Linked DNA regions of Tamandua tetradactyla. The protein of the gene in region 1 interacts with the protein of each later gene in a pairwise test. Links are inferred from orthologs where the notes say so. Each region holds a gene or a part of one and is shown on either strand. Other genes may lie near its edges. The genes, in order: SMURF1 and WFS1.

The links.
Region 2: the proteins of SMURF1 (region 1) and WFS1 interact in binary tests that used the Homo sapiens proteins (3 or more experiments, as listed by UniProt). The link is inferred for Tamandua tetradactyla from reciprocal best matches to the Homo sapiens genes SMURF1 and WFS1.

The regions. Positions count from the first base shown.
Region 1 is NC_135349.1:7,190,238-7,206,312, reverse strand, and holds the start of SMURF1 (E3 ubiquitin-protein ligase SMURF1), read left to right. Parts: upstream 1-8,853; 5' UTR 8,854-8,907; coding exon 8,908-8,962; intron 8,963-16,075. UniProt on the Homo sapiens protein: E3 ubiquitin-protein ligase that acts as a negative regulator of BMP signaling pathway. Mediates ubiquitination and degradation of SMAD1 and SMAD5, 2 receptor-regulated SMADs specific for the BMP pathway.
Region 2 is NC_135345.1:6,648,156-6,661,931, forward strand, and holds the start of WFS1 (wolframin), read right to left. Parts: upstream 7,553-13,776; 5' UTR 7,395-7,552; exon of another isoform or gene 7,386-7,394; intron 1-7,385. UniProt on the Homo sapiens protein: Participates in the regulation of cellular Ca(2+) homeostasis, at least partly, by modulating the filling state of the endoplasmic reticulum Ca(2+) store.

The DNA.
Region 1 (16,075 bases):
AGTAATTCACAATATCATCACATAGTTGCATATTCATCATTGCTTAGAACATTTGCATCAATTCAGAACATTTGCATCAATTCAGAAAAAAGCAAAAAGACATCAGAAAAAGAAATAAAACGAAAACAGAAAAAAAAAAGATTATACATACCATACCCCTTACCCCTCGCTTTCATTGTTCACTAGCATTTCAAACTATATTTTAACATTTGTTCCCCCTATTATTTATTTTTATTCCATATGTTCTACTTGTCTGTTGACAAGGTAGATAAAAGGAGCATCAGACACAAGGTTTTCACAATCACACAGTCACATTGTGAAAGCTTTATCATTATTCAATCATCTTCAAGAAACATGGCTACTGGAACACAACCCTACATTTTCAGGCAGTTCCCTCCAGCCTCTCCATTACAGCTTGGTTAACAAGGTGATATCTACTTAATGCATAAGAATAACCTCCAGGATAACCTCTCGGCTCTGTTTGGAATCTTTCAGCCATTGACACTTTGTCTCATTTCACTCTTGAAGGTTTTCTCAATCCCTTGATGCTGAGTCTCAACTCATTCTAGGATTTCTGTCCCACGTTGCCAGAAAGGTCCACACCTGGGAGACCTGGGAGTCATGTCCCACGCAGACAGGGGGAGGGTGGTGAGTTTGCTTGTTGTGTTGGCTGGAGAGAGAGTCCACATCTGAGCAACAAAAGAGGCTCTCTTAGGGGTGACTCTTAGGCCTAAATTTTAAGTAGGCTTGCCCTATCCTTTGTGGGGTTAAGTTCCATATGAACAAAACCCAAGACTGGGGGCTCAGCTTATAGCTTTGCTTGTCCATACTGCTTGTGAGAATATCAAGAATTCAACTTGGGGAAGTTGAATTTCTTCCTGTTCTCACCATTCCCCGAAGGGGACTTTGCAAATACTTTTCTACGCACTGATTGAATCACTCTGGGATTCATCGGGGCATCACTCTGGACAAACCAACAAAATCTCATGTCCTACCCAAGATTCCAAGTAATTATGGTGTTCAATCAAGCTATCTACATAAGTTATATTAGGAAATGCACTAGTCAAAATATAAATTTTGTACCAAATAAACGTTTTTTCAATAGCCTTGATTCTTGAAGATGATTGAATAGCTATAGAGCTCTGAAGGTGGGACCGTGTGACTGTGAAACTTGTGTCTGACACTCCCTTTATCCAGGATATGGACAGATAAGGAAAAAAAAGTCAAAAATAAATAAATAATAGGGCGGGAAAGGGATTGGAGGTTTTAGGTGTTCTTTTTCACTCTTATTTTTACTTTTGATATTTATTTTTGGAGTAAGAAAAATGTTCAAAAATCTTTTGTGGTGACGAATGCCCAGCTATATGATGACACTGTGAAACACCGGTTGTACAATTTGGATGATTCTATGGTACGTGGATATATAATATATCTCAATAAAATTGCACTAAAAAAGAAAAAAAATGACCCCATAAGAGGCAGAATTAAAAAAAAAATCTGCAAATGACCAAGAGAGGAAAAGTGAGCAAATATTACCCATAGGTGTGTACAAATGACAAAAGTGTGCTTTTCAAAGACACCATTCTTGGGAAGAAAGGACACAAGTCTTAAAGCTATGAATGGCTAAGTGTCATTCATCCAGGGAGGTCCTAGGCAGATAGAAGGTTAGACGCAGACGAAAGTATTTGCTTTAAGCTCCCTACAGGGTTCTACCAGGCATTGAAAAAAGTGAGTGAGACTGGATTTGAAATATCTATCCTTGAAAATCTCCTATCACGTTCACTAAGCAGGAATAGTAGCTAATAATTATATATCATCCCTCACCCAAACCAGATGCTGCTATTAAACCCCCAATTAACTTAATTTGTTTATATTAAGGCCTTTAAATAATGAGGTACAGCTCCCACCCTCTTCTTGGAACTAGGGAAATCTTTGTCACATTTATCTGCGCTTGTTTCTATTTTTGCACAATCAGGGTAAGATTGCAGCCTCGCTGGGTCCCAGCAGAAAGATGAGTTTGATTTATATACCGTGAAGGATGCAGTGATTTGGTTACTGGTTCAGCATATCCGTAGGACTGGAGAATTAGGTCACCTTCCTGCCAACAGAAACGTCGGCTAATATTTGCTACAGATGCGTACTTATTACAGGTCTTTTCTGATAATTGGTGCAAGACTGTGTGATTCATGAATTTTCCAATTTGTTTGGAATTACAGACCTACTTCAGCCTCTCCTGTTAGGCTGCCTCCATCCTTTGATGAGAGTCAGTATGTGGTTGGGGAATCAAAAAAAGGAGATCTGATTTAAACTCTCGTATCAGTTTAATCAAATGATAGGAGATGTACATCTGCTACTCTCCTTCCCCCATACATTTCCGAGACAGATTTTGTGGACTCTTCAGTATCGGGTCCCCTTTCCTATTGGGAGAAAGCACTATTGTGTGTGCTTTGGGCAGGAGGCAGTCCCTATTACAAAAGTAAAAGGGGGCCTTTGCTTTCCTTCTTGCTGACCTCAGGCCTAGTCTGGACTCAATAGGCTGGGAAACTCCTTCCTGGGCTTGGGCAATCTGGAAAGAGTGACCCCAGGGTGAAGGGACAGATGGCATTAATTCATGGGAGAGCAGGGGTGTCATCCTGGCCATACTGTTTCTTTCTGTTGAAAGAGTTTGCTCCTTGGCTGGTGAAATGTGTTGATCTTTGCCCCTTTTCTAACTTGCACTCAGAGCCATCCAAGGATTTGATGAATCCCCTGAAATTCTTCTAATATATTGTATTCTTTGCTTAAGTTACCCACATTTGTTTTTTAACATTCTAACACAAATACCCTTGTTTTGGATTTTGTACATCTCTGCTCCCTTCCTTTAACTAAAAGTGAAAACAATAGAAAGTTAATTGTATGCTTGTAACAGTGGTTCTCAAAGGTAAGTCTGCATCAGAACCACGTGGAGGGCTCGTTAAAACACAGGTTTTTGGGCCCAGCCCCTAAGTTTCTGATGCAATAAGTCTGGGGTGGGGCCTGAGAATTTGCATTTCTAACAGTTCCCAGGCTGCAGTAGATGGAGCAGATGCTGCCGTTCCTGTGACCCCACTTTGAGAACCATTACCTATTTTGTAGAGTTTCCTCCAACTCTGTCCAAAAACTAGTAAAATATTTAGCCAATAAATAGTGATTCAAGGCCTTATGGGGATATCCTTTGGCTCATCCCTGACTATTGTTGGTTATATAGCATAAGTGAGAAATAATGAATTGGGAGAACTTTCTGCCCTATTTTCCTGAACCAATAAAGATCAGAAATTCTTCAACAAGCAGGAGACCTGAAGCCTGGACATCTCCTTTGCTTATTTCTGAGTTTTAAAAATTGAGCTTACTATATTATCAGGCATTTTAATTACTTTTATTAGGATAATAATTTTAATTGTTTAAAAAACTGCTCACCCAAGTGGGAACTATTTTATAAACAAAATTATATTTTTTATGAATAACAGCAATTCAATAATTTTCTCATTTGATCATAGCTGTTTCTGAATGTAGAGTGAGGGATTCAACTAGTGTCCTTTTTTTTTTTTTTTTGCATGCACAGGTACTGGGAATTGAACCTGGGTCTCTGGTATGGCAGGCGAGAACTATGCTTTTAAAGAATTTTTTTTTTTTTTTTTTAACATGGGCAGGCACTGGGAACCGAACCCGGTTCCTCTGCATGGCAGGCAAGCATTCTTGCCTGCTGAGTCACCATGGCCCGCCCTAAAGAAAAATTTTGAAATTTGTCCCCAATTATCTGGCTGCATATGTTTGAAGGAATCATCTATCTCAAATATTTTCAGTCATAAGAAAATACTTATCAGAATGGCGAAAATTAAAAATAGTGGCAATACCAAATGCTGACAAGGATGTAGAGACACTGGCTCACTCATATATTGCTGGTGGGAATATAAAATGGTACAGCCACTCCAGAAAATACTTGGCAATTTTTTATAAAGTTAAACATGCATGACCGAGCAGTCGCACTCTTGAGCACTTATCCCAGAGAAATTAAAACATATGTACACACACACACACACACACACACACACACACACACATACAAGACCTGTACACAAAAGTTCAGAGTAGTTTATCTGTAATAACCAAAAACTGGAGCCAGCCCAGATGGGATTCAACTAGTGAAGACTTAGACTGTGGCGCACACGACTGCTCGTGGAATACTATTCAGCAATGAAAAGGAATAGTTTGGAAGAATCTCCTGGGAATTATGTTGAGTGAAAAAGGACAATCCCCAAAGATCACATACTGTGTGGTTCCATTTATATAGCATTTTTGAAATGACAAAATTTTAGAAATGGAGAACAGATTAGTAGTTGCCAGGGGTTGGGGGACGATGGTATAAAATGGCCACAAGGGGTCTTTGTGGTGTGGGAACTGTTGGGTGTCTTGATTCTAGTGATGGATCTATGGAACACACAGGTGTTAAAACTATATACCATTTAACATCCATAGCCACACTAATCAGTATAGGTAAAACTGGGGAAATCTGTGTAACCTCGTCATATTGTTTCAATGCCAATATCCTGATTGCGATCTTTTTTTGGGGGGGGGCAGGCACTGGGAATCAAACCTGGGTCTCTGGCATGGCAGCGAGCACTCTGCCTGCTAAGTCATTGGGCCCACACCTGATTGTGATCTTATACTATGGTTTTGCAAAATGTCTTCTGGGGACGCCAGGCAGAGGGATCCCTTTGTCTTATTTCCATCTATACAATCATCCATCCATGATGATCTCAATTAAAATTTCAATGAGAAAAAAATACTAAGTTATAACCCTTACCAATGATGATAATATAGTCAGCCTTGCAGATTGGAAATATTAGATCTGTCACTTAGAGAAAGACCCTAAAACCATCTGGGCCTAAAAGAATAAGTAAATAAATGTGCTAAGTATCACAATTTTGCACATCCAATTATTTTAAAAACTTGATGTTCAGATGAAAAGCAAAAGGAGTTTAGCTCCTAGCTCTAGAGACGACTGTAAGGGCTGATCTCATCCAGCCACTGGTGTCAGAGGCACTGGCTCATGTACAGAATCGTGCTCTCGAGAGGCATGTGGTATAGCTGTCCACTCCTGCCAGGAATACTCTGCACAATTTCCCAAACTTCCCCAATAGTAATTGCGGCTGCATCTCCCATAGTAGGCACTGGAACAAAGATGAGCACACACATTTTATATGTCCTACCACTCACCAAGCATCTGCTCTATTAGACTGCTAAGTCCACATCCAGGGTTTAACTTAACCCTCGTGCTGACTTTGGGTGAGAGACACTATTATCCCCATTTGACAGATGGACAAAGTGAGGCTTGGAGAATGTAATTAACTTGCTCTGTCCCCAGCTGAACTTGTGGTGGAGGCAGGGTAGCGGGTGGGCCTGTATGTGTTTTCTTTTCCAAAGCCTTCCCTGCTCGGTGTTACCTCCTGAACACATACATATGAGATAGTCGTAAAGATTATTGAATGATTATTTCCTTTAGAAGAGCGGTTCTTAATCTAGAGCCCTTACAACATCCACAAATTGCTTTCAGGAGATCATGAACCCACTGAAATTGGATGCAAACTTTGGCATCTGCCATGCATGAATTTTTTCTGGGGAAAGGGTCCAGAGTTTTCATCAGATACTTAAAGAGGTTTGACTCAGAAACAGGTTAAGAACTACTACAGCCAGATCCAAAGAAAGATTTTTATTTCCACTGGAAAATGTTTTCAGATGCCCTATAACACTGACGCAGGAAAATGAAACATTTGGGGGCAATAAAATCAGCTGCCAAGCCCATAGAAAGCAGGGTCAAAACTGCGCCTTCTAGACATTGCAGAGGACATGTGAAAAAACTCATTGAGTCCCAGCTTTGTTTCAGCAGAAATATTTGATAGTTCCTGTTTTAGTTTCCTAGCTTCTTAGACAACAGGAATTTAGTGGCTCACAATTTTTAGGCTAGAAGAAATTCAAAACCTAGGTGTCAGCCAGACAATGTTTTTTCCCTGAATATTGTGGCTGGGGCTGGCTGCTGGTGATCTTTGGTCCTTGTTTTTTATGTCACACGGCAGTGCACACAGCGATGTTGTCCCCTTTCTCCTCCGGGTCCCTTGAACTTCCTACTTCTTGCTTCTCCCAGTACTTTCTCTCTGTGGCCTTCTCTACAGGATTAAGACCCATCCTAATTCAGTTGGCCACACTTTAATTAAACAACCTTATCAAAAGGTCCTATTTACCATGGGTTCATACCCACAGGAATGAATTCAGATTAAGAACAACTCCAAACCACCGCAGTGTCCATGTGTTCCAGATGGTTTTAGAAGATAGTATTTTTGACAAAATTTGATACCGGATGAATAAATTTCAGGGTAGATCTTAAGTTCAGTATGAGGCCTAGGATAAAATCGCAGCTGATGACTTTTTTGTTAAGTGGCTGATGATTTTTAAGTGGGCAAATATCTTTTATCAACTTAGAGTGGGATAAGGTGTATGGATGGAAGATACTGCAGCTGTGCGATTGGTCTGGTGTTGGAAACTGCAGGAAAACACATTTACTTTCATGCCTTTGCATGAGAGGCTCCTGCTGCCTACAAAGCCCTTCTCCAGCCCTTTGCTGGCAAATACTGCCTCCAAGGTCCTTATATTGCCTTTCTGAGATCTCCCCATCCCCTCCCCAAAGGCAGATTTGCCCTGTAACCTCTCCCCTGGCCCTCTGTGCATATCTCTATCCCTGCATCAGTGTCAATTGTTTACGTCTGTCTCTCAGTTAGCTGAGCTTCTGAGATGCTGAGGCTGTGACTTGTGTCCCTGAATAGGTGGCCAAGATTTGGTGAATGAATTAAGTGTTAGCTTCTGATTAGGAAGGTTCTCCTTGTATAGTTTGTGGGGCAGCACACCATTAGGTGTTTCCAGTTAAATAACCGTAATTACTTGTTACCAAGTAAACAAAATACCTGTCAGCAAACTTCCAGAAAGGACCTCCTGGCCAGGGGTGGGTGGGGGCTGGAGGCGGGGGGGGGGGGGGGTGTTGATGAAATAATCAAGCAAAGGAAAGTCCAGACATCTAGGCAGATAAGAAAACAATGTGGTTAAGAAATAAATGGTTTCCAGGCCAGGAATGGTGGGGGAACAGAACAGGTAAGTAGAGAGAGAGAGTCGGGTTTGTTTGAGAAAGAATAGACTTCTTGAATATGGTAATAAAGAGGAGGAAATACTGACTGGGATGAAAGAAGAATGGGGATTATTTGGGGACATTAGACAACCAACTGTAAATGGGTTTATTCAGATCAAGGGACAATTGCCTGCAGAGAGAAACAGAGCTGGATTCTGGGTCTACTGTCCTGTAGCTTAAACACAGAACCATTTAAAGTCTGAGCAGCAAAAGGCCGTACAAATGATCCAGGCACACTTTTCTGAGGGATTGAAGCTCAGACAGTCAAAGCAGGACTCTGCTTTCATTTGGCTCAGATTGCAGCTGGCAGGCACTGCCAAGGGGCTCTAGGGACAGGGGCCTAGTCCCAAGACTGTGACCTCGGAAAAGGCCCAAGGTTGCAAGGGATGGCCACAACTGCCCAGAGCCTGGTTTCTTTAAGACACAAACCAAATAAGCGAATTAAAAGAATTTGTACATTAAAAGGATTACATAAAGTGGGTCAAAGACGAGTTTGATCAACAACCCAGCCTTCCTTTCTGTTAATATATTTCTTCTTCTCTACACCACGTTTGCAAGGGAATGTATACAGAGCTTCTAGTTCTAACCTGTAACCCTGAGAGGAGGGGAAGTGTTAGCAGAAGGCAGGGAAACGTAGGCGGTACTGCTGCTTGTCTGGTCAAACCGTGTGCAGACTGGATCATGACCAGCATCTTCTCTACCCCTCAACTTTATCCCTCTCACAAATCTTGTTTATCGTGTCCATACACGGTACTTTCTGCGCGATTCTGGCAACTCTGTTTCGGGTCAACAGAGTGCATTAGTTGCACAAAACCCACCCAAGGGACTTTGTCTCATTGAGAAGCCGCCCCCTTGAATCGGCTGCATTATCTGAAAACTCTACTCAAAATCTTCTTGAAGGCCCGTGTCGCTTGCGCAAGGGGCTTAGTCTAAGAACAGGCCAGGGTTTCATGGAGGCCTCCCTGCAGGAGCTTAGCAGGAGCCCGGGGCCTTGAGCCAGAGCCCAGGAAAAGAATTCCATCCTCGGAGCCTCCACGTTCCCATCTGCACGTCGGGTCCCGCAGAGAGGACCAAAGGCTGAGGCGGGCAGCATCGCCCACCCGTGTCGGGACGACCCCTCACCCCTCACCCCGGGCACCCGCGCTTCTCCGCGAGTGGGCTCCGGGGCGCTCGGCTCCTGGGGCCGCCAAGCCTCTTCCCAGCTTCCTGGAGAAGCCCGTCTGGGCCCGGCAAGAGCAGGAAGGTCCGGGTCCGCAAGCTGCGGAGCAGCCGCGCGCCCGCAGCCGGGCGGGTGACGTACGTGCGCGTGTTGTCCCGCCCCGACGCAGCCTGGGCGCGCGCACGCAGACGGGGGCGCGCAGGGCCGGGCCGGCGAGGCAGGCGCCGTGTGCGCGCGCGGCTCGGGAAGGCGGCGGCGGAAGCGGCGAGGGCGGCGGGCGTCCGGCTCTGAGGTGGTGGAGGCGGCGGCAGCAGCGGCGGCTCTGGGCTGGGCACGGCGGGGAGGGCGCGAAGGTCTGGGCGCGGGGCCGAGTGCCAAGTCCCGGCTCAACCATCCACCCGCCGCCCGGACGCCTGGGCCGCGGAGTTTGTGTCCCGGCTCGGACCCCGGCGCCCAGCCCGGAGCCGTAACCTTGAGGCGGCGGCGGCGGGGCCGGGCCGGGCCGGGCCGGGGGGCGGAGGCGCTGGATCCGCGGCTGCCCGATCGCTGGCGGGAGATGTCGAACCCCGGGACGCGCAGGAACGGCTCCAGCATCAAGATCCGTCTGACAGGTACGGCCGGCGGGAGGCCCGGAGAGCCCCGCCAGCTCCCGGTTGCCCCGCACAGCCCCTCGCCAGCCCCGGAAGCCCCCTCTTGTCGCCCTGGGGGGTGTCCCTCCCCCACGCCGGCCGTGGTCCCGGGACCTCGTCACCCCCTCAGCGAGTGCCCCTCGCTCCTGCTCGGCCCCGCCCCCTCGCTTCTCCCCTGCTGACCCCGCCCCCTTGCTTCTCCCCTGCTGGCCCCGCCCCTTGCTTCTCCCTCCCGACCCCGCCCCCTCACTTCTCCCTCATGGCCCCGCCCCTTCCCTTTCTCTTTCCCAACACCTTTCTCTTGCTTCTCCCCTCCTGGTCCCCCCTCTCGCTTCTCCCCTCCTGGCTCCACCCCTCACCTCTTCCTCTTGGCCCGCCCCCTATTCCTCACCGCCCCTGTCTAACCCCTTCCCCTTCTCTTTCCCACCGCTTTTCTCTTGCTTCTCCCCTCCTGGTCCCGCCCCCTCGCTTCTCCCATCCTGGCTCCACCCCTCACCTCTTCCTCCTGGCCCCACCTCTTCCCTTCCAAGTACCCCTCCTTTTCTCCCTCTTTCTTCCCCCACCTGCCTCCTCCACTCTCCTCTCCTGGTCCCGTCCCCTCGCCTTTCACTCCCAACCCCCGTTCTCCTCTTTGCTTTCCTTTTTCTCTCTACCTGCCTTGTTGCATCTGCCCCCTCTTTCTCCTCCCTCTTTTCTCTGGCTCCGCCCCTCACTTCTCATGGCTCCGCCCTTCGCTTCTCAGGACCCCGCCCCTCACCTCCCGAGTCCCGCCTGGCCGGCCTCTCCGCCCGGCCGCCTGGCTTCTATCCGGATGCATCAACTCATCAGCCTCGAATTCCTTGGTTCCAGCGTCTGGCCTCTCCCACTCCTGTCCCCCCCACCTCTCCTCCTCAGCCAAAGCTCTGCAGTCTGGTCCGCTTCCTCCCTCGGTCTCAGGCAGGTCCCTGTGTGCCCCAGTCGGCTTCTTTCTGATCCGCCTTTCACCGTGGTCACCCCACTCCACGCCCGTGAGCCCCTGCTAGGCGTCCCTCCCCCCACTTCTTGATGCACTCTCATTTCGTCTTCAGCGGGTATAGGTGCAGGTCTCCGCGGCCGGCCCGCGGGGGCCGGGATGCGTGTGGACGCAAACCGCGGGAATCGGTGCCCCGGGGCGGGGGTGGGGGCGGGTCCGGGCTGCAGCCGCGTGTCCCAGCGCAGCCCCAGGTGCGCACACCTGAGGCGGGGTGTGGTGCTCCCATATGGCTGTGCCGGGGACTTTCCAAACCACAATACTTCCAGCTCTGGAAAGGAAATAAAAAGTTCAGTCCACTCCCTCGCAGGGATTTTTCCCTCGATTTCTCTTCTCTTTAGTGGCGGGGCCCAGTGGGGACTCCGAAATCAGAGTCTGGTCGCGTCCTTTCAGGGCAGCACAGCCTTGAGGTCATCTGAAAAATCAATCCATGAAAACAACCCGGTGGTTTCATGAAAACTAAAATTTAGAAAAACAAAGTTGCTTGATACATTTTTTGTTTCAAGAAAAGGGTTGCTTTTTTTTTTTTTTTAAACAAGGATGTTAGTTGAGGAATTATTTGGACCCAAACCAGACCCTGGATTTGTAAGGTAACAGGTGTAAACTAGGGATTTCTGGAGAGGCATAATCCTTTATACCAGGGTGTGGCTAGGAAACACTTCTCAACGCATAGATAAAAACAGTAAGTTATTTTTATGGCAACATAAAAGTCATGTTTCTGACGTTGTGATACTTGTAAAACTTTAATTACTGACAACCTTAATTTGGTTCTCATTTACAATGTAATTTGTAACTGAGAGCAGATCCATTTGTTTTCTTTTTCTTGTTATTAAAAGCCGAAGTACCTGATTTTGTGAAGTTCAGTAGAAATGTGATTAAAATTTTAGAGAGAGTAAGATTTCAGGTACAGATATATGCATCAGGTGTGTATATATATATATATATATATATATATATATATTAATCAAGTCTAGTTGGCAGACCTAGGCCTGGTTCTTTTCTTCTTGAAGGAGAAGATTTGTTTTGTACTTCTCCCAAATTATTTTTGGACTCAGGAATTTGGATGTCATAGATCCAGAAATGCCTACAGAGGTTTGGTATGGCATTTGCTATTAAAGGATCAGGTGATGCGTGTTCTTTCTGAAATAAATATTCCTTTTAAATTGGTCTGTGAGAGTGACTGCTCCTGCAGCAGGTTGAGAGTGAAGCAGTGATGGTGGAAGCACCTGGTGGCACTTGTCTGTTGCACATTAATTTATGCGGAAACAGTGACATTAAATAGTTTGTTTGAAGATAGAATAGGTTTTGACTTCATTTTTAAGGTTGTTATGGGAAGTTTGCAATCATTTCATTTTTGGCACATTGTGCAGATAATTTTCAAACGTTGAATGCTTCTGTTACTGGTTTCAGAGTTTATTTCCATGTGTGATATTTGAAAATAAGAATTTTTTAAAATGAGGGCTATCTAACTAATCGATGATTAATTAATTACACACAGAGCGTAATTAATTGCAACATATGCAGACACTGGAGTTGTGAAACACCATTTAGAACTTTTTGGGTACACAATTGTGTTTGGTTATAGGGCAAAAGTTTAGAGTTAGGAGTCATGGATTCTGGTCAGATCTACCAGTAAGAAAATGATATGAAACTAATTTTTTATCCTTTCCTAACATACGAAATGAGATTTCAATCCTATTATAATAGTCTTTGCTTCTACTTTTCATGGGATTTGTCAGATTTCACCTATTCATTCCAAATTATTGTTGGGGACTTGTGCTTTCTGTTGCTAAGTCTCAATCCTCATATTCAGAAATTTGTATTAAAATGTAGCCCTCGTGTTTGATTTATGCCAAACATTGATTTAGTATATTGAATACTTTCATGATTTCTCTTTTTTTTCTTATGGACCCTTTTTGGTTTTGAAAATTGTTGGGTAATATAATGTTGAACACTTTTATCAACCTGGCCTAAACAGTAGAAAAATGCTGAATTTTTTGTATTTAAATGAATATAATTTCAGTGAATGTCTTTGTAGTGTTTTAGGAGGAAAGTTTTAAATTAGTTTCAGTGTATATGTGCAAAATGAAGCTATTTCTGTTAAAGAGCATTATCACAGCATCAGTTTTTAACTCATTGGCACATCAAACCCTTTGGAAACATTTTCATTTAAAATTCAAGTAGGGTTTGCAAAAACTTTGTTCTTATGTGGTACACAAATGAATCCCAGATACATTATTTTGGCCACTTTTGGTAAAATAATGGAATTTTCAGCTCTCTGAGCTTCACAGTGCTTTTCAAGAAAATTAAACCAGTTACTTGAAATACCTAAACTTTTTTGTGCTTTTGTGCCTTGAAATTCTCCCAGACTTTCTTATGTTTTTATATCTTCTGGAACGTGACTCTGTATTGTGAGGTGAGAAAATTCCAATTCCAAGCAAAGAGGGGGAAATACTTCCCTTGACAGCCTATGGAAATGACAGGCTATTTTTAAAGTTGCAGCATATGTGATGAAAGGCTGCCTTGCATTTTGGTATCCAGATGATGCAGCTTAGAGAGCAATAGTTGTAGTAATAGCTGTTAATAACTTTAATTGAGCAATAACAGGTGACCTAATTGATTAGAAATAGTTGTTTCTCTTAGAGATTTATTAACGGTCAAGAATGATAATTTTGTCAATTTGAACACACAGAGAACCTCACTTATGTGAGGTAGGCAAAACTTTTGCTTTAGCAACTGTTACACAGTTGCGGCGATAAAATGGAATAAGTGATCAGGTTTTAGCTATGAGTACTGGCATAACATTTTCCTTAGGGTTCCTGAAGGCTTAACAGAAGGTACTTCTTTGAGCTGAATTATTACTGTCAGATGGGTCATAGCAAATGCTGTTGCAAAACTAAAACTGCAGTCATACTTTAAAAAGAATCGCATTCGGCCAAATACTGGATCTATCACTGCTTTTGTGATGTGATCGCATTTGTGTTGTCTTAAAAACAACGCCACCACACACCTTATTTTGTGGTGAATCTCACTGACCCATCTAGCTGATTTTAGAAGTGAAGCATCTCTTTTACTTTATATCCTCATTTTTACAATAATTGTGATTTATTAAACATTTTCACAAGCACAACAGTTCCTGAACCTTGGGGTTTCCTTGTCTTCCACACCTTTCATTTTCTCTCTTCAGCTACGTTGTCATGTTCTAGTGTGGAATATTGGGCTAAAGAGGGGAGGTTCTAGGGTTTGTGTCACTTGTGAAGAAATACTTCCCCATGATTAAAAAAAGAAGAAAGACTGACCCATAATATTTCAACATCAGCTCAATGGTCCAGATAACTAGACTGGCTGTTTTGTAACATGTTTTGGGCACTCAGTATAAGTAAAGATAGCTGAATTGTGCATTTTATTAAGTGGTAAGAGAGAAAGGGAAGTTAGAAAAATCTTCTCAATTGAGTGAAATAATTTGTTATCTTCACAGTGCTCTGATTTTTCTGGTTAAGAAAGCCTAACTTTTAGGATTCTTATTTTGATCAAATTTTTGTAATTTCAAAATCATTTCAGAAGCTGCCTATTTTTAAATGAATAGGGAAGTAAAATATGTTTTTTTTTCCACCCAACAATTTAAATTGCTGGTTTGTGTGCTGTTTTGTAAGTGAATTTTATGGAGAGAAGGCCCCCCCCCCCCCTTAAATTGGCTTCTTGTTCAGGGCACTCTTCCTCCTAGCTGAGTAAAATCCTTAAGGCCATTCTATTCGAAAGAGAGCTGTAGAGCAGTGCTTAAAAAGCAAAAGCACATAGCCCTGTGGATCCGGCGGATCTTCTTTTTAAAACGTTAGAATTACTGTTGTGTCTACAGACACAATTTAATCCACTTATATATTTGGAATGTTGTTGCCACATTTCTGGATTAAAGGAAAAAAAATCCATTTATTGTTTTAAAACAAGGATTAAATAATGTACAGTCAGTGTGTCTGGTGATGCGCCCCGCTCTGGAATTCCAGCTGTGTTCACCTCCATTGCAGCTGAAAGGCATTCTAATTGGTTGAGGAATGTCGGTAACATCGTGTGTCTCTGAAGCTTGAACCTATTATGCTGGCTGCCGGGTGATGCATTTCAGATGTTTTAAGCTCAGGAGTCCAACTTGTAGGTTGCTTTCAGGAGTCTGGAAAAGAGTGTTATGAAGCTGTGGGTCGTAGCTGGCAGCCTGCCTTTTTCTTTGTATGTTGGGCATCCACTGAGTTCCCTGAAGGCCACACTGCTTTCTTGTGCCTTAAACATTGGATCGGGAGTCAGAAGGTCCTGATTTTATTTCTAACTCAAAGAAATGCCGTAATGCAGAAGGGGGCTGCAAAGAATTATAATCTTTTCATGCCTCAGTTTTCCTCTCTGTAATGGGGATACCTGTCATTTTATCTCTTACAAGCATTTGATAAAGATAGATTAAATATTTTAAAGGGTAGTTATTTGTAAGTTCAGTCGTGTATGTACAGAGTCATTGATTCCTATTGTTTCTTATTCTTAAATAACCCATGTGAGTACATGATAAAGCGAATGATACACTTTAACATTGAAGGAAATCTATCAAATCTATTGTTGAACATGGAGGCACAATAATTAAGAAAGAATTGTTAAATTCTCTATGTGTTCAGAGAAATAATGCTACAAGCCAAAGCCATCATCATCCTACATGGTGAATTCTTGGAAGCAATCCCATTAAAATAAAGAAATAGTACAGGGATGTACATTATCACAATTGCTATTAACTAAAGAAAGACATCGGAAAGGAGAAAACAAATTTACTATTATTTGCAGATATATGATTGTATATGTTGAAAAATCTAAAAGAGTCAGCTGAAATATCAATTATAAATGATGAAAAACTTTAGCAAAAATTGCTGGATAGATTTCTTTGTAAAATTATAAAATCAGTATGCAAAGACCAAGTAGGAAAAATAATGTTCAACATATAGACAATGAAAGTCTGGTTTCCTTAATATATAAAGGACTTTCAAAATCAATTAGAAAAAGGCAAATAACCTTTTGACAGAGCAAAACACTGTTTTTCTAGTAGAGTGGCAGAGGCCAAAAAGTTTGAAAATATACGGTGATGACAAAGGTATGGAAAAACAGGAACTCTTACGCTGTTAGTTGGGAATATAAATTGAATCAGTTGTTACCAGACCAAAGCAGCGGATTCTTTTGCCCAACGCACTCAAATGACTAATTCCTGAGACACCGGGATTTCAGAGAGAAAAAGTTTATTACTAGGCACGTAGCAGGAAATCAGATGGCCAAATGGCCCAAAAATGTATCTCCTCGAACTGCAGTAATTCTGATAGTTTTATAGAATTACAAGATGGGCAGGTTTTAGAATAATGAGCACTGTGGGCCCAGATGATGTAATTGAAGGTGGTCTAATTATTGAGCGTGCGCAGACGGATTACGTGCTTAGTCACAGAACGTATATAAGAAAAAGGCAGCCTTAATATGGTGATGAGGGTCATTTTTAGTATTATAATTAGGTATAAGTGACTTGTAGGTTAAAACCTAAGCTACCGTGCATGTCAGGTAGGCCCATTTTGATTAGATCCAGTCTCCATTATCAAGATAACTTTGGACCTGGGGTGATTAGTTCCGGGCTGACCCAGGACTCTTCATTAATAAACATTAGGGGCTGTCTTAGTGATAACAGGACTCTAAGTTGAAAAACTGGATAAATGGGTACAAATGAAGGTTTTTCACAGGCTTTTACAATCACAGGGACACAAGATAAAGGCTGTGCAATCATTGTCAGAGAAGCAGCTGTATTGCAATTTAGAGATTTCAGGTATTTCCCTCTGTCTACTAACATTATACCAGAAAGCAAAAAGGAATATCTATATAATGATTCAGTAATCAAAATTATCTCTTACGTTCTAATTTCTCGGTTACACAATAGGTATGGAGGGTAGTTTGGTATCATCTATCAGATATTAAGTGCCTGCACCCTTAAAGCAAGTGATTCTGCCTCGTGGAATTTTTCTTATAGAAAAATTTAGGCATTTAGGTACAATAATTATTGCAACATTGTTTAAAATAATAAAAGA
Region 2 (13,776 bases), on another chromosome or scaffold:
AACCCCTGAAGGAAATCGAGAACAGCAACTTTCTCAAAGAAGCCTGGCTCAGCATATCATCTAGCAGTTACAAACTTGGACCCAAAAGTCTTGAAAAGCCACATGACCTTGGGCCTTGGTATCCACATCTGAGAAATAGGGGCAAAATAATAACACCCTATGGCTCTTTTGTGAGGATTCAATAAGATAATCTACAAGGAGCATTGAGCACAGTGCCTTATGCAGAATGAAGGTTAAAAAAATGTGGGACAGGTGGGATGGGGCAGGGGCTGGGTCGATAGAAGGTGGTAGGGGAGTGGAGAAGGACAGAAGGGGAGGGAAAGCGAGGGAAACAAAAATGACAGAGGCAGAGGCAGGATTTTAAACCAGAGCTGCCCAACTCCAGAGTTCTAACCAGAGGTCAAAAATCACAGAACTTTAACATCATCAAATATTAAAGCATGTTATAAAGCATACTAGCTTAAAATAGCATAGTACTGGTATAATGGATTACTAGAATAGGCTACAAGTACAGAACACGTCTCCAGTTAAGGGAAAGGACTCAGTTAGTCAATAAAATAGGCTGCACATGCTGTTTAGCAACTGGAAAAAACCATCAACATAACCAAAGGGCAACCATGAGTCACAGACCCAGGAGGTCCCCAACACCTCAGCACCTGGATCCTGGGGGCCCTGCATGGGCTTCAGGGGCCCACAAACCTGTGAAATTCTCGGTTCCATGCGCACACCAAGTGGTGAGCACAGGGAAGGTTGGTCCTCAGATTCCCAACTAGGACACGGGCTCCAGGAACAGTGCCCCTGAGCTGCATGGTCCTGGGTAGGTCACGGCCCTCCATCTCTGCACCTCAGTGTCCTCATCTGCTGGGGCAACTACGAGACCCAAATGAGGCCAGAGACCCAAGAGCTGCTTGAGGGGCAGGGTCCTAGCCGTTTCTCATCACCTAGCTCCTTGCAGTGAACCTGACCCAGAGGAGTGCTGGAGCTATCTGCAGAGACAGTCAACGCCGGAAGCCAGGGGCAGCCAGGCTGCCAGACGCCTGTCCCCAGGGGCCGTACCACCATCTCTGCCCCCTCCCCATGCGAACGAGTCCTGAAGATTAAATCTGTGCCGGCCAAAGAACACTGAAGATTTCAATCTGGACATTCCTCTCTCGGAGAGAACTGAGCCCTTCTTTCAAAACATCCTCTGGGCTGCAAACAAAACGCCGGATCAGGTGGAATCTACTTGGGAAACTGACTCCATGCTCAGTGTATTTCAGAAGTCCAGGCTTCTGGGAATCAAAGCTAGAGGCAACTCTTGCAGGCTACATCACGGAAGCCACATGCAGACCCGAGAAAGCAGAGCCAGCTGTGGGCGGGGAGCAAGCCAGAGCAACACGACAACCCAGAAACTACAAAGCGGGGAACGACTCGCAGAAACATCGGCTCTCCAAACCACACATGGCACTTCCCACCACGCAGTCCCACGTGGCTCCAATGGCCCCTGAAGCCCAAGTGCCACCTGCTTAGAACACAAAGGACAACTCGACCTCCTGAGAGCCTTCCCAAGCCAGGGCCAACCCTGGCTTCAATAATGGCAACAACAAACGCTGCATGTGGACAGTGCCATGTGGATTTTCTCTGGGATCCCTCATCTCAGCCTTACGTGTGACGGAGGTACAACTATTATCCTGGCTTTAAGATGGAGAAATGGTTTCTCCTTCTACCTTCACCCCATCTCAGGTGAGAAAACTCAGGTCAGGAGAGGTAGGAAAGGTGAGGTGTGTGCCCGAGGCCATATGGTAGGTTGGATTCTGTGTCCTAACAAATGTACATCCATTGTTTATCTTACTCCACGTCCCTGTGGGTGTGAGTCACTCTAAACAAGACCTCTTGAAGAGGTCATTTTTGGTTAATGTGTGGCCAAATGAATGGGGGTGGATCTTAATCCTATTACTGGAGGCCTCACAGACAGAACCCGGGAGCAACAGGCTGGAGAAAGGAGAGGACCTCACCAGGTAACAGGAGGCGGAGATACAGATGAGCAGGCCGGTGAACACTAATCTTTGGGGAGAAAGCAAGCTTTGTTGAGATCTTGATTTTGAACTTTTCCTAGCCTCGAAACCATGAGCCAACACATTCCTGTCATTCAGCCCACTACCGCGTGGCATATGTGACAGCAGTTCTGACACTGGGATTCGAATCCACATCTTCCTCACTGCAAACCCTCTGATTTTTCCACTGCTGCAAGCTCACTTTTGAAATAGTGACCTGTGCTGGTTTGAAAGGATGTATATCCCCTAGAAAAGCCATGTTTTAATGAAAATCCCATTTCGTAAAGGCAGAATAATCCCTATTCAATACTGTACATAATTAGATCATCTCCCTGGAGATATAACCCAATCAAGAGTGGTTGTTAAACTGGATTAGGTGATGACATGTCTCCACCCATGTGGGTGGGTCTTGATTAGTTTCTGGAGTCCTATAAAAGAGGGAACATTTTGGAGAATGAAAGCGATTCAGAGAGAGCAGAGCAGAATGACATAGCCACGAGAAGCAGAGTACACCAGCCAGCAACCTTTGGAGGTGAGGAAGGAAAACGTCTCCTGGAGAGCTTCTTGAAACAGGAAGCCAGGAGAACAAGCTATCAGATGATGCCGTACTTGCCATGTGCCTTTCCAGATGAGAGAGAAACCATGACTGTGTTCACCATGTGCCTTCTCACTTGAGAGAGAAACCCTGAACTTCATCGGCCTTCCTGAAGCAAGGGATCTTTCCCTGGATGCCTTATTTGGACATATCTATAGACTTTTTTAATTGGAACATTTTCTCGGCCCTAGAACTGTAAATTAGAAACTTATTAAATTCTCCTTTTTAAAAGCCATTTCTGGTATATTGCATTCTGGCAGCTAACAAACTAGAACACGGCCTTTCAAACTCTGGGCCCTGTCCGCCTCTGCAATCAGACCTCCCACTACATCCCCTTCCTGGTCCCTCACTCCAAAAACTCTGCTGCACTTCAGCATCAACCTGCAATCACTTGCCCTAGATGGTCTACAGGGCAGAGGATCAAGCTCCAACTTCCACGAGTTTCCTGGTGGCCTCTGCTCTGAACCCATGTCTTCCTCACCTGCTCTCAGTAAGAGTCTGAGTTCTGAGTATCCTCATCAAAGCCCTCTCTCTGTCAGGCTCTTAGAAACTCACTGATCTTGTACCCTCAGGAGGAGCCCTGGATTGGAGGAACAGCACAGACCCAGGACACAGGGCACTTTACAAGCAGACAAAACACCGGGAGTGGAACCCAGGTGCACCTTTCTTAACCTCACTGTGTCTCAGTTTCCCCACCAGTAAAGTGAGGATATTACCCCCCATACAGGGGTGCTAAGGGGACTCAGGGTTGATGGAAGAGAAAGCAACCTGTGAACTAGAAAGCATTTTTAAAACCCAATCAAGAGTGGTTGTTAAACTGGATTAGGTGACCACATGTTACTCCCAGGTACTACGTAAAGACAGGTTCGACTGGAAAACACCTGACAAAAGAAATTTCAGGAAAGTACTGGTTCTGGCTGGGCTGTGAGGCTAGATATTATGCATGTCACGTTACAGTCAAAATAAAACTGTTTAAAGTAAAATCTCCGCTGAGTCAGAATGGGTGAGTGAAGGAGGATTACTTGTAGGTTCCTTGAGGGGTGGCTAGTCCTCCCCTTGTTACCGCAAAACAAAACGATTCATTCCCCAGGACTGACTGGGTCACAGGGCCTCATGGCCGGGGTCCTTCTGACTTTGACATAAACCCTTCCTTTTCTACCGAACCTTTTCCCCAGAACTCTGTGACCCCTGAAGCCCACCCACTGCTGGATCCCTGCTGACGTGCTCGGGGTCAGGGCTGCCAGGCTTCCCAGCAGGAGTGCTGGCTGGGAGCCAGCGGATTCGACTTAGGGAGACCATTAGCTAGTCCCTCCCCTAGGCCCCAGAACCAGGGTTCACTGTCCACACGGACCCCTCTGACCTCCCCATGGGTGGAGGGCTCAGACCCAGCTCCCACCTGATGGCTGATGCAGAGGCTAGGAACGGTCGTTGTGCAAAATCCAAAAAAAAAAAAACCAGAATGGCTCGCATTCTTTACCCGTGAGCTTGAGCTCCGAGTATTTTTATCCCATCGAAACACAAAATGCCAGCACCATGGAGCTCAGCTGAGGGGCCACCATCCTAGAGGGCCTGCTCGGCCCACGCATCTACTGAGACCTGAAAGAGGAACCACGTATGGCACTGTGCCCAAGATGCTCTTAGCCGTGCTGGGCTGGCCGCAATCCCACACTCCCAGGAGGCAGCCCTGACCCCTGAGCCCACTCCTGAGATGTGTGTCTTGGAAAGCCTTAAAGGTGCTCACTCCAGGGACAATCAGAGCCCACAGGACTCACACATGAGGGGTCCCTCCCACCCCCACTCTTCAGGACCATCCAGAGAGCAAGTGGTTGTACAAATTACGGCCCCTCCATATGCTGCAACACAATATATTTTCAGCTAGTAAATGTGACTTTGTATACAAAGATTTAAAGACCAGGAAAATGGCTGTATCATACTGTTAAGCAACATTTAAAATAGCACAAGATATTAGCCCAAGTCTGTTTAGGATGAAAAGCAATACATCCACAGAAAAAGATGGAAGAAAATTCCCCCAAAACTTTAACAATGGTTTTCACTGGGGTTGGGGAGGATGATGGGTGATTTTATTTTATTCTCTTTTTTAAATGCATTCCCTTCATTTTCTATAATGAAGATGCAATGTTTTTTCAATTAAAAAATAAATATTATTTAAAAATCCATCTGCAACTAACTCCTAAAGGAGTGGGCGTCCGGGAGCAGGACGCTGGGGTGAAGGAGTGGGAGGGGTCTCTGAGGCTGGGATGTCTGCTCCTGCCAGGTCTCTTGGCCTGAGGCCCTGACAGAGGCCTACTCCTTAAGACAAGGGCACAAAGCCCTTGGTGGCTCCCGGCTACCTATTTTTGCTCTAGAGGATTAAGGGCCAAACTCCTTCCAACGCGGCAAGTTCACATAAACCTCCAGCTGGGGATGTTCGGGACACAGTCCCAGATGGCTACAGAAAGCTAGGTGCTACCCCACCAGCCCGGCCCCCATTGCATACCTGGCACCTGCTCTGCACCTGTCCGGGCTGCTCAGCGTGCCTGGATTAAGGAGCTATTTTATGCCAGACACTGTCCTGACCACCCACACCCTGAGAGGAAAAAACAGGGCTGGCCTTCCAGGTTGGACAGGAGGGCAGCTCCTAAAGAGGTGACCAGCTTCATGCAGTAAGAGCAAAGATGGGGCAGCACTTGGGGCTGTGGAGCACAGAAGAGGTCCCTCACTCTTCTGTGCTCCACTTTTCCCCAGGGAAAAGTGGGGGTTCTGCAAGAGAGGCCCTGTCTGGCCTCTGCATTCCTTCAGCACAGGCAGCGTGGGGGGAGGGGAAGGAGTACTGGTGACCTGGGCTTCTTGGCAGGGGGCTGTGCCCAGGAGAAAGGAGCAAAGAAAGCGAGCCACAGCGTGTCTAGAAAGTTAAATGTGGCTGCGAAGTGAGCGCCTGTGGGAGACACAAGCAAGAAGAGGCTGAGTAAGCTGCAGGGCAGGTCAGGGAAGGCACTGAATGCCAGGCTTAGAAGATGGACCTGACCCCACAGGCCAGAAAAAGCCAGAAAGCTACTGAGCACAGATGTGGCACGGTTAAAGAACCATCCACAGAGGGTTGTGTGGATACAGGAACAATCAGGGAGGAGACCAGGTAGCCACTGAGACTTGGACTGAGGAGGCCTGGACCAGGTCAGAATTCAGAGAGGCTCAGGAGCCAGGCCAGATAGGCACCGTCTCCAGCTAAATTTGACGGATGATGGGGGGCAGTCAGGGGGTACCACTTGCTGAGGTAGGGACGTGGCGGGGGATACTCTGTGCAGCATAAAGCTCCATAATTATGATTTTCCTGAGCACCACCATCATGGATGAGTGTTTGGTATGTGCCCTGCAGATTTCCAGGGATAGAGATGGAGTCATGCTCTCCTCTGTGACAAGCACCAGCCCAGACGGCCTGTCCAGTGCTGGCCTGTGACAGACAGGGGAGGCCTGACTGGGGGAAAAAGTGAGATTTCATTTCCTAGCCAACCTTTCCTGCACCTAGTAAAGGCCCATCCACTGCGGGTGCAGGAGAGGGTGAGGGGGCCTCCCTGAGGGAAAAATGCTAGAAATGCCTCTCTAAATCCCTGGTCCCAAGCGAAGGGGCTGCAGTTAGCCTCAGAGCCCCCTGGAGAGGGAACAACAGGTGGGTGGCAGGCAAGGTGGCCCCTGGGCTTCCCATCAGCAGGCTCCCGGGCTGCGGCAGCACAGGCTGGGTGAGCGATGCACCCAAGCAGCAGGAAAGCCCGCGACAAGCAGTAAAGCCCTGGGCCAAATGCCAGGGGTCACTGTCCAAGGAGAGGAGACACGGTGCTGTGCTTCTTAGCTCCGTTGTGGGTGTGGGGCGGAGGTTTCACTCCAGGCTGCGTTGTCCCAGGCAGGCCACCAACCCCCTTAAGCCTCGGCTCTCTCTTGCATGACATGGGGACCACAATCCCAAGACTACTGTGTGCGTATGGGGTGGGGGGTGAGGGTGCTGCACAAATGTTAATGCCTTGGAATCTCATAACATCAACTACAAAAAATGGGGCTGGAGGAAAGGCTCCATCACATCCAAAAGGGCTGTGTTGGATTCCCCAGAAAACTTCCAACTGCCCAAACAAAAATCAATGTCCCGCAGGGCCAGGGCCAAGGGAGCTGCCACTGCCCGCTCCCTTGGTGAGAAGGAGCCTGTGGAACCTGAGAAGGGGAGTGGCTGCCCCTCAACTCCTAAGCGGACTTGGGGGCTGGGGGTGGTTCAGCCAGGCCAGGAAGCTGGCCCCCCGCGGTGGCCCCCACTGTGGGGCCCCGAACCCCGTCAGTCCGCAGCCTCTGGTGGGGGCTGGCGGAGGGGGTCCCGGCGCCTTCCAGCCTGCGGGGAAAGGGCCGTGATGGGGCAGGTCGGTCCCTTCAGCTTTTCTGCCCGCCCTGGGGGTTCACCGCCGGGCCCCGCGGGCTGGAAGTGCTCGGAACGCGGGCACCGGCGGGGACCGAGGGGCGCGGGGCCCGGGACAGGGTCCGGGGCGGGGCGCGCACCCCCTGCACCCAATCTCCGCCCACGGAGGGGTCGCCTTGAGCTCGCAGGCGCGGGCGGGGTCCCCAGCCTGCCAACTTCTGAGAACTTGCAGGGGCCAAGAGGATCAGCACCCCCACCCTTCCACGCAGAAGGGGAAACTGAGGCCCGAGGCGGGGTCGCCTCCCAGCGTTCCCGGGTCTCGTTACAGCCCCCGGCAGACTGCCTCCCGCCCCGCCATACTCACCCGACTCACCCGGCCCGCGAGTGAGCCCGCGTGACGCCTCGACGCCCTCGGGCCTCTGGGTCCGCGGCAAGTTCTCGGGAGGCGCGAGAAGGGCCGGAGCCGGGAGCGAAGCACCGGGAACAGACAGTGGCGCTCGCTGCTGAGGGAGCCGACCAGCGCAGCCCAAGGCGCCGGGGAGAGGGGCGGGGAAAGGGGCGGGGCATCCGGACGCCCTCCAATCACGGCACGGCCCGAGGACGCGAAGCCAGCTCGACTCGCCGAGCAGCCGGAGCACCTGCCAATCAGGGTGCGCCTCGCCAGACTGCCTCCGGCCCTCCCCTGGTGCCGCCTGTTCGGAGGACGCCGGGTGGGCGGGGTCTGACACGCCCACCGCCAAGGTTTCCTAGCGGACTTGAGGCCCGGCCCCGCCCCCGGTCCCGCCCCGCCCACACGCTCTCCATCGCTGGGCGGAGCCCCTCGCCTCAGTAAAGCAGGGCCGGACTCCAAAATGGGTTCGCCTTTTGTCTACATCTCAGGCCCAAAGAGCCCCAACTTCAGATTCATTATAGTTGCTCATATAATCTTAACGAGTGCATTTTTAGAAGCTTTAATTCCGGCCTTTCCAGTGGTAAGAGGGGGCTCACCAAATAAAACAAAGCAGAGAGAGAAAAACTGAGTCTGTGTAAATGTTTGCATGTAACCAAGCCCTGCTCTAAATGCACACCATCAAGTGCGACGTAGCATGCTTTCACGGGGTAAGTGTGAGGGCTCCCCTTATAAAATAACGTGTGCGCGTGGAGTGACGCTAGGTTGGGGAGCTTTGGAGACCCTCTTTTTTCTGTGCTCTCGGTGAGTGAGAGGTGGGGTTCAGAGGTGAGGGAAAGGTCTACTTTGAGAATGAGAGGCCCTGTCCCGCCACCTCGGGCTCCTGGGGCTCTGTCCCCTGCCAGGATTTGTATTCACAAATGGTGGTTCCATTCACCACCAGCTACCCCCTGGGGCAGGAGGCTTTAAACTCATTTTTACTGATGGAAAAATTGAGGCTCAAAGATGGATAGTTATTTGCCCAAAGCAATGCATTAAAAATTGTCCTTACCCCCCTTATAATGCACTAATTCCAGAAAATTTGGAGAATACAGAAAACTAAAAAGAAGAAGAAAATCACTTGAAGACAATCACTGTTTACTTGTTGGAATATGTGCATATTTTGCATATTTTTTTAAAAAGGATATTCAAGCATCATTATGATTACACCATATATATAGTTTTCTATCAAAGTCTGTTTGGTTCGGGCCTATCACAAGAAAATACGGATTCTCAGATGTTCTTAGTGCCTTTGAAAAGGCATATCCCATCGCTAGGCTGCTCCCTGCTCCCCATCCCAGATTTTGGAGCCTCTCCCTCAAAACTCCCACACCTCCGGCTGCACATCTCCTGTCCTAGGGATACTTGTTCTCCCATCTCTTTCTCCCACTAGAGGACAGGGACTCTGAGCCCATCGTGTACTGCATGCCTGGCACATAGTAGGCCCTCAATAAATATTTCCTGAGAGAATTAATCACTTTCAACAATCTGCCTTTTCTAGAATTTGGGCTGCTTCCCATTTCATGATCATATTTGTTTTTAGAAATAACACTGTGATACATATCCTCGTTCCAGCGAAGTTGCTAAAAGCAAATAAAGACAGGGAAACCAGCGTGGCGTCTAGATTTATGACTCCTTTCTCCCTGTGTAACCCTGGGCCATTTATTCCACCTCTTGCTACTCCAAACAGGCTCTGGGGACCAGCAGATTCGGCATCATTTCGGCTTGTTAGAGATGCAGAATCCCAGGCCGCCCCAGGCCCACCAGATCAGATCTTTTAACCTGCACATTGACATTCGGGAAGGTCTTTACGCCTCAGTTTCTTCCTCTGTAAATGAAGAAAACCATAGCAAATAGGACCTTTTGAGGATTCTTTTTTAATTGAGGGGTGGCCAAATGAACCAGGGTGGGTCTTAATCCTATTACTGGGGGTCTAATAAAGAGAAATCCAGTGGGAGGAGCCAAAAGTCAGCAGGAACCTGGGAGAGAAAGGAGAGGACATGACCAAGTGACGGGAAAGCCAAGGAACCCAAGAAATGCCAGCAGCCAGAACGCTGCCATCCCTGAGAGGAAGCCGGCCTTCTAGCCTCTGAAACACATTCCCATTATTTAAGCCAACTTGTGTGATTTGTCACAGCAGCCTGGAAACTAAGACATCATGGTAGCTAACAAGGTTGGACTTCTCATGCTTGTTAACTTTGAGAAGCATCTGCCCTACCATTTATCTACTGGTATCTTAGAGGCTCTTTATAAACCAGTTAAATGAGCCGCTTCTATTTTTGACCCTCCCATCTTTACAATTCTCTCCTCCTCTCCTTTTACTGGGGAGCCCTGGAGGCTAGGTGGCTTCCCAAAGACCCAGATGGTTCCTGCAGTCCACCTTTGGGGAACCAATATAATGATTCAGCAGTCATACTCACTTATTAAATCCTATCTTCTCTGTTATAACTTCACCTTCTCCTTTGCTCTTTCTCCCAATCTTTAGGGGTATTTGAGTTCTGCCCTTTCTAACTTTTTCGTGTTGGAAAGGGCTGCCAATAATATGGGATAGGGGGATGGAAATAACTGATGTTCTAGAGAGGCTGGGTCCTCTGGATTTCAGGACTTATCTGGCCTAGGAACACATCTGGAAGTCGTAGGTTTCTGGAAAGTAGCCATAGTGCAGGAAACCTTTTTAGAATCTCAGATAAAGCCCTCGATGTTCTTTAGGGTTGCCAGGAATGGTTTTGGTTGGGGTTTGGCAAGCCATTATAATGGCAATATCTAGCTGAAGCATGCATAAGAGTAGCCTCCAGAGTGGCCTTTCCACTCTATTTGAACTCTTGTGCTGGTTTGAAAGGATGTATGTCACCTAGAAAAGCCATGTTTTAATCTAAATCCCATTTCATAAAGGCAGAATAATCCCTATTCAATACTGTATGTTTGAATCTGTAATTAGATCATCTCCCTGGAGATGTAACCCAATCAAGAGTGGTTGTTAAGCTGGATTGGGGGAAATGTGTCTCCACCCATTTGGGTGGGTCTTGATTAGTTTCTGGAGTCCTATAAAAGAGGGACATATTGGAGAAAGCCAGAGATTCGGAGAAAGCAGAGAATGCTGTAGCACCACGAAGCAGAGTCCACCAGCCAGTGACATTTGGAGTTGAAGAAGGAAAATGCCTCCTGGGGAGCTTCATGAAACAGGAAGCCAGGAGAGAAAGCTAGCAGATGATGCCATGTTCACCATATGCCCTTCCAGCCAAGAGAGAAACTCTGACCATGTTGGCCATGTACCTTCTCATTTGAGAGAGAAACCCTGAACTTCATCAGGCCTTTTTCTTCTTGAACCAAGTTATCATTCCCTGGATGCCTTAGATTGGACATTTCTATAGACTTGCTTTAATTGGGACATTTTCTCAGCCTTAGAACTATAAACTACCAACTTCTTAAATTCCCCTTTTTAAAATCCATTCTGTTTCTGGTATATTGCATTCCAGCAGCTAGCAAACTAGAACAACTCTCTTAGCCACTGATACCTTGTTATAATTCTTTCCCCCCTTTTGGTCAGGAAGGCATTGTGAATCCAACGGTACAAGAGTCAGGCTCATCCCTGGGAGTCATGTCCCACATTTCCAGGGAGACTTTCACCCCTGAATGTCATATCCCATGTAGGGGGAAGGGTAATGATTTCACTTGCAGACTTGGGCTTAGAGAGAGAGCGGCCACATCTGAGCAACAACAAAGGTCCTCTGGAAGTAACTCAGGCGTAACGAAAGGAAGGCTTAGTTTCTCTGCTACATAAATAAACTTCACAGGGGCAAGCCTCGAGATCAAGAGCTTGGCCTAATGCCTTGGAGTCCCTAATGTTTGAGAGAGTATCAGGGGTGCCGACTCATGCGTTCTGACCACAGGAACAGAAGTGGCCTCGCTGCCCACCACCGCCTGACTGGCCACTGCCTCGTGGGCACTGAACATACTTCACGAACCCTTGGAGAAAACACAACAAGTAGAGGGAAGAACACTGAACAGTTTCTCCTATAGAAGAGTGAGGGAGGAGAAGAAATTGAACTTCAGCAAAATATGTGAGACTGCTGAAGGTGCCTCAGTCAGAACACAGAAACCCTTTACATGCTCCAGGGAGCTGAAACACTAAAAATGTAATAGGTCAGCTCAGAAAGACCAACCATCCAGGAGAGAGCAATATGCTTCTCCCATCATCAGTCCATGTGTCCCACCTGCAGTCCCCTAATTTCTTCCCACAATCCTTAAATCCTGTGCTCCACGTTCTTGCTGCTTCCTTTCTACCCACATTTAAAGCTGACTTCCCTTTGCTCACCAAACATCTAGTGGCTTCCCACCGGTTCCAGGCACTGGCTCTGCAAAGTGTGCAAAGAAAAAGGAAGAAGGAGGCCTGGGGAGTCATCTTCTAAAAGAGAGCAGAACTGGGGGGCTTTTTCAGACTATTGGTATAGTCGGCTAAATGATTGACCCCCCCCCCCCAAGATACCAGGTATTCCTGGAACCTGTAAATGTGACCTTATCTGAGAATATCTTTGCAGTGATCCAGTGAACAATCAAAAGATTGGGAGATTCTACTGGTTATCTGTGTGGCCCCAAATGCCATCAGACGTGTCCTTTTTTTAAGGTGGAGGTAGAGGGGGACTGGGCACACCCAGCGAAGGCGATAGGTGAAGGTGGAGCTAAGAGATTGGAGCATGCTGGCCTGGGAGAGTGGAGGAGAATGGTTGCCCACCAGGGAATGCCAGTGGCCCCCAGAAGCTGGAAGAGGCCTGTGATAGTTAGATTCAGTTGTCAACTTGGCCAGGTGAGTGTACCTAATTTTGTCGCTGCCAATGGTACATGAACCTCAGCTGTTGCTGATTTACATCTGCAGTCGGCTAGGAGGCATGCCTGCTGCAATGAAGGACGTTTGACTTAATTGGCTGGTGCTTAAATGAGAGACCGCAACGTAGCACAGCCTAAGCAGCTCGTCATTCCTCATCTCAGCACTCACAGCTCAGCCCAGGCCTTTGGAGATGCAGAAAGAAGTCACCCCGGGGAAAGTTGTTGGAACCCAGGGGCCTGGAGAGAAGACCAGCACAGACCATCCTGTGCCTTCCACGTAAGAAAGAACTTCAGTGGAAAGTTAGCTGCCTTTCCTCTGAAGAACTAACAAAATAAATCCCCTTTTATTAAAAGCCAATCCGTCTCTGGTGTGTTGCATTCCAGCAGCTAGCAAACTAGAGCAAGGCCACGACATGTGACCCAGTAGCAAGCACTGCCTTCAAGCTTTCCACCTCCAGAATTGTTTTCATTTAAATTGGAGGACTGAGCACAGAGAGAGAGAGAGAGAGAGAGAACGAGATAAGGCGCCTGAGCTCTTGCCGTGGCTGGATCATCAGGTCAATCTGGCTTAGCTGAGGTTTTTAGACCTAGAAAAACTCACTGGATATCTCTGAGCCTCACCTTGTTCCTCACCTATGAAGTGAGGGCAGTTGCCAGAATTCCACAGGGTTTGAGGAAGATCCGTGAGTTCCCTTCTGCGCAAGGTAGGACCTAGCACAGCGCCTGGCGAGCAGTGGGACTTAGTGGGTGCTGGTTTCCTTCATTATCACACCCCAAAGCAGCGCAGCTCCCTCTACACCTCGTGGCTCTGTAAACCCACCCCGCAGCCCTGGGCAGGCAATACGGCAGGTGCGCATTTGAGATGTGGAGTGACACGCCCACAGTCACTCAGTGACACCTTTTGGGTCTGATTGTCCCTAAAGCCCTGCTGTGCCACCTCCACCCACATGCCCCAGGTTTCAAACAAACACCCCCAGGCTTCCTCCCGGGCCTCCCACCCGCGCCTCCCGGCAGGGAACTTGCAGCCCGTGATCAGTCCTGAGCCGCTCCTGTCATCTTCACAAAACCCAGAGCTGGTGGGAGAGGAAACTTCTCGTTCACTTTAGCAGGAGACAATAGAGCGAAATGTTTTGCATCACAGCACTTGGGAGAATGTCAAGAGGAGCTGAAAATTGCTCAATTCAAAATCTTCCCCAGAACTTTCTGGACACCTGCTTGGCTTAGTAGCAGTGATTGGAACTGTCTACACGCAGGCCCACAAGGAGACTGGCAGGAAATGTTGGGGGGAAGAAAGCATTTTTGATATTTGTAGGAGCAACTTAGACAGTTCAGCAAAAGAGAAATTGTTTTTGACAATCTTTAGAAATACCTGTTACCCAGAAGGCTTACTGGGATTGCAGATCATTGTTTCCCTTAAATTTTTGAAATAATGGAAAGCATCAGACTATGGTCACTACCTGCTCATGAAATGCCAAAGAGTATCTCTTCAGAGTAAGGAGAAGGC